Linked DNA regions of Mytilus edulis. The protein of the gene in region 1 interacts with the protein of each later gene in a pairwise test. Links are inferred from orthologs where the notes say so. Each region holds a gene or a part of one and is shown in the gene's direction. Other genes may lie near its edges.

Region 1 (8,285 bases):
ATTGCTTCCCTTAGAACATGTCGTAGATACTTAGGCAATTAAATATTGGGTAAGTGCAACGGCTACTGGATTTCATTACCCGCCATGATCACTCAATGTTCTTATAGTTGCGCAAATATTTATTAGGTTTAAAGATGTTACAAATTATTTAAATCTTTTAAAGATGCCCTATGCATTATTGTCCAATTGGTATATTTTCCATTTCGTATTAAAACATATTTATTCCTACTCCTGGAAATTCAAAGTTAAAACAAATTCAATGGTCATGCATGTTAAAAGAAACAAGTTAGACTGCACTGTAATTGTATATTCCTCCCCAATATGTTAATTGTCCAACTTTTAATTCTTGAATAAAATATAAATGTACTGATAGTACATAAATGCTATTTCAAATAAAGGGAGGGGAAGTACGCGACTTTTTTTATAACTTTAAAGAGGCCCCTCATGGGGGGGTCCTAGTAATCACATAATCACCATTTTTTTGCCAATATAATCACATAATCATTAAATATTTGCTTATCTTTAGTAATCAAATAATCATAAACTAAAAATACAGTCCTAGGTAATCAAATAATCATGAAATTTTTGGCTTAATAATCAAATAATCATTAAAAAAAACGGCCAAGTAATCACATAATCAAAAACCCCATGAGGGCCCTCTTTAAACTTCAGAAATCAGATGGTATTTAAATGATGGAAAATAACGCAAAACCCTACTTTTTTATAAACTTTTTTCTACCGTGTGGTGTTACATAAGTGTGAACAAGTTTAAGATGATTTTGCAGCTGCTAGATTTGGTTAGAATGTATACAAGAATAAACAACGTAAACAACCGATTTCAAGAAAACATATAATTGTTTATCCAGAGACTGTTTATCCTTATAAAAAGAAGTTGATTTCTGGAATAAAACTTTAATATATACATGTACAAGGCAACAAAAGAAATAATTACAAGGCAATGCATTTTGCATATAATGTAATTAGATTAGATGTATGTTTCATTATAATACACTATTCTGATTGGCTGACTGCAATCTCACATTATTCCTTAATCAACTTCATTACACAATAAAATTTATCATTCATGATGACACGAGGTCCCACAATAAAGTGCACATGTAAATAAAAAAAACTTGGTAAAAATCGTGTTTTCGTGATCCTAGCTAAAAAAAAAAGTAATTATAAGTATTAAATGCTTCTTTTTGTAACTACATTAGCGGTTGTAAAAGTGGTGCCCGTGCTAACATTTTTAAAATGATCTTCGGTCAACGCTTTTACATCCCAATGAAGTTACAAAAAGAAGCATTCAAATCTTAAAATAATAAAATTGGATACAGTGTACCAAAGCAAATAATTCACCAAATGTTCTAACTTTTACAGTGTTATTTTCTTCTCAAAACCATTGATTTAAGGCAAAAACGCGATTTTTTTTGGTTGTTATTTCAAAAATCGTATTTTTACCCCAAAAATTATAAAAATCGATATTAAAACTTAAAACTTTAAATTTTAAATATTGAATCACTTCGCAGGTATTGAATACTTAAATCTCATCTTTGAAATGAAGTGCCGACTTTTGGCATCATTTTCCGCAAAATAACTTTGGCCCGTCGGTGTTTAAAAACTCGGTAGATTCTAACTTTCCAATTTGGTCAGATTATTTTAGTCATATGTATTTGCCTTGATAATGAATGTTTTCTATTGGATAATTTAACAGATTTCCTTACCTATTATATGTTATGATATCTAGGATTACAAACGTGTGTATCGTTTCTTTTGTTGACATCGGTATTTTTATGAAAGTAGTTGTTTTCCTGTATGAAACTTGTAAAAGTAGTTGTTTCCCGGTTTAAACTTTTTAACCACAATAAGTATACAATAAGAATAACATCAAATAAAAGGGCTTTTGCATTTAGTGTAAGAAAATAATAGATAAAGACAATAGTAGTTTACTGCTGTATAATAGCCACACATCTATTTAATATCTAAAACAAATCTGGTCCACAAACCAAAACTGTGACATCAAATATAAGAGGAAAACAATGGAATAACAGAAACACTGAACTGCTACAAAAAACAAAGGCCAGCATACATTGCACATAGAAACGGACTATTTGATAACAACAACTGCCAAATTCCTGACTAGGTACAGGAAATTTTAAGAAATAGAATAGGACTTTGTATTCTAAGTTGCGGGCTAACAAGAACCATACAAACGTGGGATAAGCACTGTACATAGAGCTTTTTGCCGACAATAAAGACACATAAAACATACACATTAGACATACATAAGATATGCAATAGCAAAATGTTCCTATAAAAACATCTGCACAAACTAACAAAGCACTGAACTACTTTATAAGCACATGCACATCTATTTCTTCAAGCTGCATAGAATACTCCAAAAAATATCAAATCATCAAGATCTGCTGGAGCCCCATGCGCATGATCGAGTTGTCTTTCCAGTTTTTGATAATACTTTTAAACTGGTTCATGTTCGTCTGCGAACGGATCTCGCCAGGTAGCTTCTTTCAGAGTGAAACTCCAGTATGAAGCATGAATTAACGAAGACTAACATTTGTGTTCTCTCCTATAGTACTTCAACAGTGCAATGCATTACGTACATGAGGGACATGTACATCACCCCATGCCGCTGAAATTATATTCGTTTAAGAACAATTAAGCACAACTTACTTATAAAAACAAATACGACCATACATATACATAACAAATGTACATTTGAAAAACTAACAAAGGAAGACATGATTTGATGTCAATAAATGATTAACTTACCGATATTGGCTCTGTGTCTTAAAAAATAAAAAAAAATGGGGGACAAAGTAAATATGTTCTCTTTCAATAAATTGTATTTCTATGAAATTGACAATCCGGCGACACGTTTGAAAATCAAACGCTTCCAACTTATCATCCAAACCAGAAATATGTGTATATATCTCTCTGGTATTATTAGAAGACCATTACAACTATAATGACTGTTTGGTACAATTGATAAGTCGATCTTTTCGCACCTGAAGACTGCCGGCAAAACATATCGGCACCTAAAAAAAGAACTAAACCCTAAGCGAAACAGTGATATTTCACGATTAAACGACAGAATAGATTAATTATAACTATAGCGTACAATTTAACCCACTGATTATATTTCAGTTTTTTGCATATTTTTGTACGTTAAAGTTGAGATACAAAATTAAAGAAAAATAGTGGCAGGGTATTTATCCATCCCTCGTCAATAACAACAAAAAATCCGGACACTAAGTACATATCTGAGAGTACTTGGCTTGCAGTTACCGATATAGCTCCACAGTGTTTTAAAGCCCCAAAAAATCATGTACCTTAGACCAGAGACATATAGTACATCAATTGTATTATATGTCTCTGCTTAAACTAAATTGAGTTTAATATAAACACATTCTTTCCATTTAATTGTATTTAACGTGATTATTTATTTTTGACAGTAGTATTTTGAAACGTATATCATCTTAATTTTTCTTATTTTATTAAAAGTTTGTTTTATAAATATATTTTCATGTTTTAACCCCTGGACAAAGACACACTTATATCCAAAGTTTTTCTGGCACTGAAAAAAATAACCCCTGGACAAAGAAACTTTATTCTATTTTTAACAATCTAGGATTTTCAAACCTAGCTGGGGGAAACTTTTCTATTAAACAATATCTACCAAGTATTAAACAACGAGTGATTGATCAGTGCACACAGGATCAATCATCAAAAATTCATGATTCATCAAAACTAAAATTTTATCAACAATTTCATAATTCAAAGCAGCGTAGTTCTTATGTTGATGTTCTAAGTAATAGATTAGAAAGGTCATCTCTGTGTAAAATTAGATTGAGTGCACACAATCTTGCTATTGAAAGGGGCGATGTTTAGGTTTAGCCACTGACGAACGAGTTTGTAATGTATGTAAATCAGGTGAGGTAGAAGATGAAAATCACTTTTTACTGAAATGTAAAAAAAATTCAAACTATAGATTTAACTTTAAAAATAAGATATTAAATATACTTCCTACATGTTGTAGTGAAAATCAGCTAAATATTAATAGTTGTATTAATAGTAATTCTTTAAAAGTCCTGAAAGTGACTAGTTCTTATATATATAAATGTCTGATGTATAGAAACGAGATTTTAGTTTCTTAATTATAACATATTTAAATACTAGTAACTGTATGCTGTATTCATTGTTGTAATGCACTGTAATATGGGCCTTTGCCAATTATTGTAATTGTGTTTGTGCCAATAAAATATTTGTAAAATATTTGTATTTTGTATTTGTTTTAGAATTTTATTATGTAGGCTATACACGTCGATTTGTCATTCATTACCGGAAAGAACATTTTACACGTGTAATTTATTAAACGATAGAAAGCATTGGGAATCCAGGTTTGCAACAAAGGACAATAAAATACTCTTAAAGAAGACGGAACAATCGATTAGGAAAATCTCTTCACTATAAATCAATATGTCCAATACGGTTTTTACAAAGTATAAAACTGTCTAGGGGTCGATATAGTAACCAAACTTTTTTTGTACAATTTCAATTTTTGATAATGTAATTCATTCATTGGGGGGAGGGGCAAATTATCGGTTTAGGCCACAGGCACTCGTATCAGAACAGTGGCGGATCCAGGGGGGGGGGGGGGTTCCGGGGGTGCGCACCCCCCCTTTATTTTTGCCGATCAATGCATTTGAATCGGGACATATGTTTTGCACCCCCCCCTTTGCCCTGGGTGCCCTGGGTTAGCACCCCCCCCTTTCGAAAATTCCTGCATCCACCCCTGCAGAATCCCCCCCTTATATACCTGTTATATTAGGTATATGAGAAAAAAAATTCTGAGACAAGTGCCTGTGGTTTAGGCTGTGACATTTAAAAAAAAATTCTAGTGCATGCAGGTTTTGTCGACTTTTCTCCCAAACACAAATAAATTTCTCCCAAACACAAATAATATTTTACACCTGTGACGAATAGCACTCATCCGGATTCGCCCCATTCCTAACTCGGTTCTGATATTACATATAGCAACCATCATGGCGGGTTCCACAGATACAGGTCGAGATCAAAATATCTATTTTTCTAACAGTTTTGCAGAAATTTGTTTTAAAAAAACATGTCAAATGACTTCTATAACACACATCCTAATACTTGACATCTTGAACGAGAGCCCTCTATGTAAATCTTGTTCGTTAAACACTTTGGAATTTCACGCCGGTTTGGTGTCTCCCATTTTCACAACATCATGGTATTTCTTTCATAAAGAATTTAACCAAATTTTGATTTAAGGACACATTTTAAATGTTATTCTAATGATAAAAGGGATAGACTTCGTTTAAATACCCTTTTAACTCAATAAAAGATGCAGTGGTTACATAGTTTACACTAAGAATTTCCTGTTTTAGCCTTGTTAGTGATTCATGATCTTGTTTTTACTAGAGTATAACCAGATACACACAGCAAAATGATGCTGTGCTACCAACTCATTTAATTTCTTCCAAATCATGTTTTGGACCACATTCAAATCTTTTTTCAACAATATTTATGCTCATAATTTACATTTTTAATACAGTAGAGGGACAAACAGACCTTTGTCATGATTAAGATATTTTAGTGTGAATAATGGGATATGGCTTTTATTTTTGAAGGATTTCAGAATAAAACCTTATCAGGACTCGAGAATAAATGATTTTTTGTCAGGAATGTTGGATGACAACCCACTACCTTTCCTCACAGTAGAATCGCCTGTTTCGATATACATTTGTACAACAGTTGATATCATAAATTGCATTACCTAATTACTTCATATCCATAATGTTACTGTACATGGATATTATTTGTCTTGTGCCTGTTTAGTCAAAACAAGGGGTTCCCTAATTTGGAACACATCTGTCAAATTCTCAATATCAATCAGATATGGTGATCATGAAGTCACACCTACAGAATATTGCATGAACTAAATTACATGAACTGTAAAAGTACATTTATGACATCAATTTGCTCCCTTTTACCCAATTATTGTTTTTTTTTAGTTTGCCAAAGACTAGTCATTGTAAAGATCTTAGTTACTGTTACTGCTTATATTAAGTTTTGAATAGTGTTTCTTTTGCAACAGACATGGCAGTTGATTCCTGTACAATTTTCAGAAATAATGTTTTTGGTAGAAACTTTTGAATTTATTGATAAAAGTACCGTTAAATAAACATGATAAATATGTATCATATTTTTTTTGAGGCACCAGAAACCTCTAGGACAAAAAGAAGTAGCTGTAGCTTACGATTAAGACATGGATATTTAATCACATACACAATCTATGACAAACAAATGAATTATTTAAAAAACAACTTTTTTCATGATTGAATTATTCATTATCTTATGCATGTTACACATAAAACAAGGAGATGTGGTATGATTGACATTGAGAAAACTATCCATCAAAGTTGAAATGAAGTGCATGACATGTAAACAATTATACTATGAGTATGGCAACTGTATAGCCTTCAAAATGTTTAAATTCACAGTAGCTACATTTTATTCAAAAAGATAAACTATGTTAGGAATAATATCATTCAAGAAAAGGGGTGTTATGAAAAAATAGTAAAAACAACCATGAAAATTTGAATCAACCAATATTTGCCAGTATTGACCACTTGGGGAGTATTATTCGGGGCGGTAAATTCCGGTAAATACCAGGCGTGGTATTTACCGCCCAACCTTGGAAATAGCTTTTCTTCAATCAAACATTAAGCATGTTATTAATTTACAACAGGTAATCCATTTGATATCCCACATGTACACAATGTATACTAGCTAATGTAGGAAGAAAAAATACTATGATTATAATCTTGATTTCATTTACAAAACAAATGTATGTATTATGAAATTGAGAATGAAAACAGGGAATGTGTCTAAGAGACAACAACCAGGCCAAATAGCAGAAGGCCACCAATTCAAGGGTCTTCAACACAGTGAGAAAATCCTCTACTCTGAGGCGGGCTTCATGATCAGCTGCCTTTAAACAAAAATGTGTTAAAGTTCAATGAAAATGTATGATGGATTAAAACTATACTGATCCATGTTCAGTGGTGAAAAGATTTTGAAGAAATATTGATAAAAAATGTTAGGCTCTTGACTCAAAACTAGGGTCTACTATAAATATGTTTGCCACAAGGAATAAAATAAATCCATCAGTTTCTTTGTTCTCCCTAGAATTTAAAAAAGCACCATTGAAATTATCATAGCAGCACTGGTTTTCCAAAAACAATAACGTACCATGGCCCCAGGCTCTATACAATCTGTTATAAAATCCAAGATAGAACCATGGTAGAAAATATAGCATGCTGGGGGCAAACACTAATTCAATTTTTTGTCAAAAGGGTGAGTCTGAATTTCCATCACAAATTAATGACAAAATATTTTTAGACTTTATTTTTTTTATTGACAACCATTCAAAATATTACCTAGACAATCAAATCAATACATATTAGTGGAAGATACTTCATATAATCATTATCTTGTCTAATGAGATTTTAATATTGACTAATTGTTAATACCCTGTGTACAGTTAGTACCATTACTTCATACTTTGCTGGTAACAATGTAGACCCACGGCTAGTACAAAATGTACCATCAATGGAAAACATCACTGATACAATGTATTTATTAAAGCAGAACTGAAACTCTTCCTTGTTTGACATTTATTGTTAGCTTTACAAACTTTTAAGTAAGACTATAATCATTAACAAAGTACTGTAAATTCAGAAATTATTGTGTGTATTTATTATTGCGATTTTGTCAGTTTAGACTTAAATGCAATTTTAATTTTTACGATTTTGAAAAAAATCCTGTTTAACATGTTTAAATAATATTGCCTTTACAACTCTGTCACATTTTTCTCAATAATAAAAACGTCGCATTAATTTCAGAATTTACAGTACATGCAATTCTGAATTCAGTCTAATTATATAACATCACTCTGAATGGAGTTTGCATGAGTAACTGTGAAATATCTTTGCGATTGCCAATGAGACATTTATCAACTAGAATCAAATGATGTAGATGTTAACATATATGTGTTTATTGAATAATCTGTATATTAAAATAACAAGTCTAAAAGGGTATATATACAATAATATATATAAATATATATAATCATGAAATACATAGTTGAGTCCCCAGGTGTAAAGATGACAATACTAAGCAACTGATTACATTATTTTAATCCACTTCTCTAAAAATTGACAACTTCTCCAATTTCT
Region 2 (7,457 bases), on another chromosome or scaffold:
AAATTTCTTTGTGTGAACCTTATTTTCATTTATCCACACAGTTATCGTTTTAAACACTTTTTCTGTATATTTTTTTACGTTTCTTGGTTAATTTTTAAATTATGATTGTTTTCAAAATTTGTTCATGTCCCTAACCCTGTAATACACAAAATTTATTTAAACATATCGATACCTATTTTAAGATATTTTTAAAATGATCTTCACTATCAATTTCATTTTTTTATCAAAGAGAGACCGTGTTAAATATTGTTATCTAATTGTATAATATGAAAATAACTCCATGCTGTAAGAGAAGTAACTCTTTCTGCACCAAATTACAAATAGAATTTAGTAATTATATAACGTTTATTTTGTTTGACTTTGAAATTGTAAACTTAGTTCCTATCTTTTTTATTATTATTACTGTAGATACTACATAGCAACAGAATTGTAGGTAATTGTGCAACTTTATAAGTTTAGGGACAAATATAATCATTTTAGCAAGAGATCAGACATAAGCCAATCTTCCCTCCCAAAATCAACTTATTTCTCAAATAGGCCTGATTTTAGTATTTGTTGTAGAAGTATTTTGATATTGTTTTTGATACATGTTTTATTTGTTGCTGATATTGAGAAATATGTTAATATAAACATACTGATTTGTCACATATGTTTATTAATATTTTCCAGAAATAAAAAAATCATCTAAAGATAGTAACTTATTATTGTCCTTGATTTTACCTTTTTTCTTTTCTTTTTTTTTTACTTCTTTTGTATTGTATTTAATTGTTTAGTAAACTAGCTATTAAACCAGGTTTAACTCACTATTTTCTTTGGTAATGTATGTTCTAAGTCAGAGATATGACTGTTGTTATTGTGTTGTTCCGTTACTTGATATAGTCCAGTGCTAGGTTTTGTGAGATTTTATGGACGTGCTTCCCACCTTTTTGATTGACCTTCAAGTTATTTCATTGTGTTGATACAGTTTTTAGAGACACCATATGGTTTTGATATAAAAGATTTTCGCTGGTTCACACAAACAAGCTTTGTCTTAGATATTATTGGTATGGTTCCATAAAGTCACAACTTTATATCAAATATATTCTTCTGGGTAAGTTTAAAACTGATGTATAATGGAAATATTTTTGTCTTGGATGTTTATTTTTTATGCCCCACCTATGATAATAGAGGGGCTTTATGTTTTCTGGTCTGTGCCTTCGTTCGTCCGCCCTTCTGTCCATCCGTCCGTCCATCCGTCCGTTCAGGTTAAAGATTTTGGTCAAGGTAGTTTTTGAGTCCAATCAACTTGAAACTTAATACATATGTGCCTTATGATATGATCTTTCTAATTGTAATGCCAAATTAGAGTTTTGACCCAAATTTTTTGGTCCACTTAACATAGAAAATGATATTGCGAGTGGGGCATCCGTGTACTATTGACACATTCTTGTTTTTTGTAAGTAGCAGAACACAGATAATACTCCTTGACAATTTTCACATATTTTGTTGGTTTTTGAAGAGGCAAATCTGTCTTTTTTATTATAAGGAAATATCTGTTTGTTGATTCCATGTTATTTGAAGAAATAACTATTTTGAACCTTTGTTGGTTATTGTCATCTTCTTTTCTGGTTTCTAATATCAAAAGATATTTTAAGTTTTTTACAGGTTATATCTGGACATGACAGTGAACTTAGGTATACCTCTTCACACAGCCACACCTTTACTTTACATGGGTCTTAGTTGACAGCTGAAGTCAAGATACCAAGCTGACAAGTTGCTTAATAGAAATTTTTTGTCCTCTGGTCCCATGAGAGTTTTGACACTGACTCCTCAGAAGCAATTTCTCTATCCTCCATTGTGTCAACAACTTTGCTTCCGTTTTAAGATGTCTGCATGTATCATGGTAGAGGGATTTAATTTCTAGCACTGACTTTTATCTAAAGAAGTAAGTGTCTTCATTACAGCAAGCAAAAGGCAATAAAGGATCACCAATGTTGATTATCAACTGACAATTTAGTAGACTCTAATTAGTAGCCTACATAGAAATACATTTATTAAAGAGTATATATTTTCAATTCATTATTAAACATAAATAATATACTACTATCAAAAAAATGTCATTGAAGAAAGACTATACCTTATTTAAGACCAGATAAAAATAGGTTGTTTTCACAATTTTGTAAAAATCAACGACTCATAAAAGGTCTCAATATGAAAAATGTGATACAATTTAATAATGAAAACTAACCTATAAATTACATCTGATCGATACAAAGCAAAACAATCCACTAACGACAAAGTACAGATCTGAACTTGAGGTACTTGCAGAACTTTACCTGAGTACTATGGATGTTCATTTCCCTGATTTTACTTACCTTTCCCTTTTTTGAAAATACTTAATCCGACAATGGTTCTCCAACACGCACACGAAGAGTCAAATGTTTGGAGGAGTTAAATATATAAATACATGGCCTCCGCCTCTACACACGTGATCAGGCGGCTACAACACGGACTCCGCCTCTATACATGTGATCAGGCGACTACGACACAGACATCCTTTTTTTACGCAGTTTACTTTGTTGTTGGGGAGGGAGATACACGTGATCAGGCGGCTACGACACAGACATCCTTTTTTTATTCAGTTTACTTTGTTGTTGGGGAGGGATATACACGTGATTAGGCGGCTACGACATGGACATCCTTTTTTTATTCAGTTTACTTTGTTGTTGGGGAGGGAGATACACGTGATCAGGCGGCTACGACACGGACATCCTTTTTGTCGAGCTTTCGACTTTAGTCGAAAAAGCGAGACTAAGCGATCCTACATTCCGTCGTCGTCGGCGGCGTCCACAAATATTCACTCTGTGGTTAAAGTTTTTGAAATTTTAATAACTTTCATAAACTATATTGAATTTCTACCAAACTTGGACAGAAGCTTGTTTATGATAATAAGAAAGTATCCAGAAGTAAATTTTGTAAAAATAAAATTCCATTTTTTCCGTATTTTACTTATAAATGGACTTAGTTTTTCTGCCAGAAACAAAACATTCACTCTGTGGTTTAAGTTTTTAAAATTTTTATAATGTTCTTAAACTATCCTGGATTTCTACCAAACTTAGACAAAAGCTTGTTTATGATCATAAGAAAGTATCCAGAAGTAAATTTTGTAAAAATAAAATTCTATTTTTTCCGTATTTTACTTATAAATGGACTTAGTTTTTCTGCGAGGAAACATTACATTCACTCTGTGGTTAAAGATTTTTAAAATTTTAATAACTTTCATAAACTATCCTTGATTTGTACCAAACTTGGACAGAAGCTTGTTTATGATCATAAGATAGTATCAAGAAGAAAATTTTGTAATAAATAAATTTCCACTTTTCCGTATTTTACTTATAAATGGACTTAGTTTTTTTGCCAGAAACAAAACATTCACTCTGTGGTTTAAGTTTTTAAAAAATTTTATAATGTTCTTAAACTATCCTGGATTTCTACCAAACTTAGACAAAAGCTTGTTTCTGATCATAAGATATTATTCAGAAGTAAATTTTGTAAAAAAAAAAAATCACGTTTTCCGTATTTTACTTATACATGTAAATGGACTTAGTTTTTCTTCCAGTTAACATTACATACAGTCTGCAGTTAAAGTTTATAAAACATTTATTAGATTCATAAACTATCCTGGATTTTTTACCAAACTTGGAAGCTTCTTTCAATCAAAAGACAGTATCGAGATGGAAATTTTTATTGATGTTTTTCCTCATTTTTGTTGAGTCTGCGATTAACAGCAAAAGTAGGCGAGACGCTGGGTTCCGTGGAACCCTTACAAATTTTTTTATTCAGTTTACTTTGTTGTTGGGGAGGGAGATACACGTGATCAGGCGGCTACGACACAGACATCCATTTTTACTCAGTTTACTTTGTTGTTGGAGTGGTTGTAATTTTCTGTGTGTAAGTTTTTCGGTATCTTTTAATTATATTTCCACTTATTTCCCCTATGTGATGCGGTCTTTCTCTTACAATAACAGTAGTGTAAGGTTATGGGTGGTAATCGTGCCTCTCAGAGGCTAATAAAGGGAAGACTATTTAAATCCAACAGGGAGGGGTCTGACAGATTTCGTAATTTAATATTCTGACCATGATTATAAAGTTGGAAATAAATATATCTTGCCTTATCAATCATCAAGGATAAATATTTTGGTCCTAACACTTTGGCTAGCTTCGCCAATAAAACATTTACCCTGTCAAGGCATTTTTTCTCTCTCCAAATATTAGTTAAATTACTTTTAAGGGGGATAACATGTTGATTTGAAGGATGGACTGGGTGAAATAGTAGTTCTGTATCACAATTTAAACTCGCAAATATATATATATGGTCCTGGAAAATGATTAAACGCCCTCCCCCTCTTTTCACAATTAATAAGAGTGTCAGTGAGTGTCCCCTAAAAGAGAGAGAAAACATGAAATGTCATGATATATCATTTGGATACTAGATTGGTCTTTTAAATGAACAGGCAAAAATACTTCCCGGTGAGAATAGAACGAGATTTGTAAAATTTCATCCTAGACTGAAACATTAATGTCACAATATTGAGCAATATCAAGATTGAGTTATTTCCCCTTAACTATAAAAGTTGTTACAAGTTGGTGTACACTACACAGAAGAGAAATGGAGGAAGAACTGTGTAACGATTCACATGAACTTGGATACATAGATTGTCACTGTCATCTAGCTGATGATATGTTTGATAAGGTAAGTAAAAGTTAAACTAGTCGTTACCCTCACTTTTAGTTTAGGATAGAGAGAAAGAAGCCATACAAATATGGGAGGTAACTCCTGTGTTCTCAAATAATGACGTTTTCATCATATTGAATACTAAAAGATTCGATTAGATATTTGATTTAAAACACAGAATCCTGCCTTGCCAAGCTTGGCGAGTGGATCAACCTTTTCTATACCACAAAAAGTATGTGTCTTCATTCATAAAAATATTCTTTTAAATATTTTAACTTATTTTAACTTATTTATTGTATAAATATTGATTTATATTACTCTTATCTATATTCGAAATTACAATGACAGTAGTTTATATAAGAATAGAGGAGGGTCATATATATTGCGTTAAATATCGTAGCAGCTACGTAGTGGCACTGCTACTTAGATTTTGACTATTGGACGTGTAGCTATAAACTAGTTGTTACATGTAGATAGCAGCTACGTAGCCGCTACGGATATTGAACTCAACCCTGGTATTGTGATATCGTATGGATACTGAAGACCAAGAACTCAAAAAATAAGTTTTAAAAAATAACAAATCATCATGACCAAACACAATTCAAACAAATATGCAGTGGCGGATCCGGGGGGGGGGGGTCCGATCAATGCATTTGAATGGGAGCATATAGTTGGAACCTCCCCCCCCCTTTATTCTGGGTTGGGAACCCCGCCTTTTTAAAATGGCTGGATCCGCCACAGAATATTTCACGTATGTAGAAAATGGGAGGGTGGTCATTCCCAAAGCGCATTTCGCTCGTCGATCCGGATCCATGATAATATGTATAATAGTAGGAGGCAATCATCTTGGAATGGATGTATATTTACATGTATACCTCCCTTCCTTCTAGACTACAGACTCCTGGATTTTTCGCTCAATGATAATAGAGAGGGTGCTGAACCTTTTATGGGACGTCGCCGGGGATCGGGTGTTTTTAAGCTCCGGATTTGGAGATTGATCCTTTCGTGATCCGGTATTTTTTTTCGTATTTCGTGATGTCTGGATTTAAATTTTCTTTAAATTCGGGACCTCAGAATTTCATGTTTTTAAGACTGGGATTTCGGGTTCATATACAAATTATTCCTCGTCCTTAAATTCAAAGTCAATACATTGACTAAACAAGTAATACATGTAGTTTTTTTCAGGATCTGGAAGAAGTTGTAGCAAATTCAAAGAAAGATGGCGTAAGTGCAATAGTTGTAGTTCCAATAGGTCTAGAGGATTTTTCCAAAGTTCTAGATATATCACTAAAGTATAGAGACATCTTGTCACCATGCCTTGGTGTACATCCGGTCCAAAGAGGAACCGAAGACCAAAGAAGTGTGACACTTGCAGACATTGAAGCAGCTCTCCCAGAAATAGAGAAACACGTAGACATTCTGTGTGGAATTGGTGAAATAGGTTTAGATTTTCAACCACGTGTCTGTAAAAATCCAAGTGATAAAGATGTTCAGAAGGAAGTTTTACGATTACAAGTTGAGATGGCAAAAAAGTTTGATTTACCCATTAATGTTCACTCTCGTTCTGCTGGTCGCCCGACTATAGCAGCTTTGAAGGAGTTTGGCGCTCGAAACGTTGTAATGCACGCATTTGATGGGCGTCCAGCTGTAGCAATGGAGGGTGTTAGAGAGGGGTTTTATTTCTCTATTCCTCCGTCTATAGTTCGAAATGATCAGGAAAAGTTAGTAAAACAAGTACCGATTGACAATATGCTGTTGGAAACAGACTCGCCCGGGCTCGGACCAGAGAAAGGGATAAGGAATAATCCGTCTAATTTACATATTTCTTGTGAGTACATCGCCAAGGTCAAGAATATGGACACTTCTGAAGTCCGGAGAATTACGTCTTCAAACGCATTAAAACTTTTCCCCAAATTGAAAAAGTTTGTAAAATAATCATAATTTTTTTTGAGTAAAGTAAATTAAAGTCATGATAGTAAAACGGGTTATTTATTTCGGTTCATATGTAGATATGTTTTTTTTTTTAAAACAGATCATATCATCATCATGAGGTTTCTTCCTATTTCGACTGTACATGCTGTTTGTTTCTCCATCTTTTTAGTGCATATTTTGTCAAAACCAATAAATCGGTGTTGTAATATGTTCAGGACAGCATGGTAAACATGGTGAAAGGAAAAATGTCCTCAATTTTTCTTGTTTATTGTCCAACAAATGTGTTTCATGTTTTGACAACCCTGACGAAACTCGTAAACAAAATACAACTACTTCAAAAAAATTACGCGTCGCCAGTAAACTTAATTGCGATCATCAAATTAATTCCCAATTGATGCCTTCGGAGCTTAAAATACAATACAGTTATCTCCTGACTAACTTCAAAACAGCAAGATTAACTTATATTTTCTGGAAAAAAAACAGCAAAGAATTGTGTACCAAGTCAGGAAAATGGCCATTGTTATATTATAGTTTGTTTCTTGTGTGTTACATTTTAATGTTATGTTTCTGTTGTGTCGTAGTTCTTTTATATTTGATGCGTTTCCCTCAGTTTTAGTTTGCAACCCGGGTTTGTTTTTTCTCTATCGATTTATGAATTTCGAACAGCGGTATACTACTGCTCCGAATTGCATGAACGAATAGCCTAAAGAATCCGGTGAAAGTCCAATGCATGGAAAATAATTAAACAATGCATTAAAGAGTTATATTTATTTAACAATAAACAAGAATGATTATAAAATTGCACATTTTC

The links.
Region 2: the proteins of ubiquitin-conjugating enzyme E2 variant 2-like (region 1) and putative deoxyribonuclease TATDN3 interact in a two-hybrid assay, tested with the Caenorhabditis elegans proteins (2 studies listed by BioGRID). The link is inferred for Mytilus edulis from reciprocal best matches to the Caenorhabditis elegans genes uev-1 and B0432.8.

Annotation. Positions count from the first base shown.
Region 1 is NC_092348.1:73,767,627-73,775,911, reverse strand, and holds the start of ubiquitin-conjugating enzyme E2 variant 2-like, read left to right. Parts: upstream 1-4,978; 5' UTR 4,979-5,063; coding exon 5,064-5,085; intron 5,086-8,285. UniProt on the Caenorhabditis elegans protein: Involved in protein ubiquitination, but has no ubiquitin ligase activity on its own. The uev-1-ubc-13 heterodimer catalyzes the synthesis of non-canonical poly-ubiquitin chains that are linked through Lys-63.
Region 2 is NC_092353.1:84,481,941-84,489,397, forward strand, and holds putative deoxyribonuclease TATDN3, read left to right. Parts: upstream 1-4,587; 5' UTR 4,588-4,648; coding exon 4,649-4,732; intron 4,733-5,899; coding exon 5,900-6,649; 3' UTR 6,650-6,695; downstream 6,696-7,457.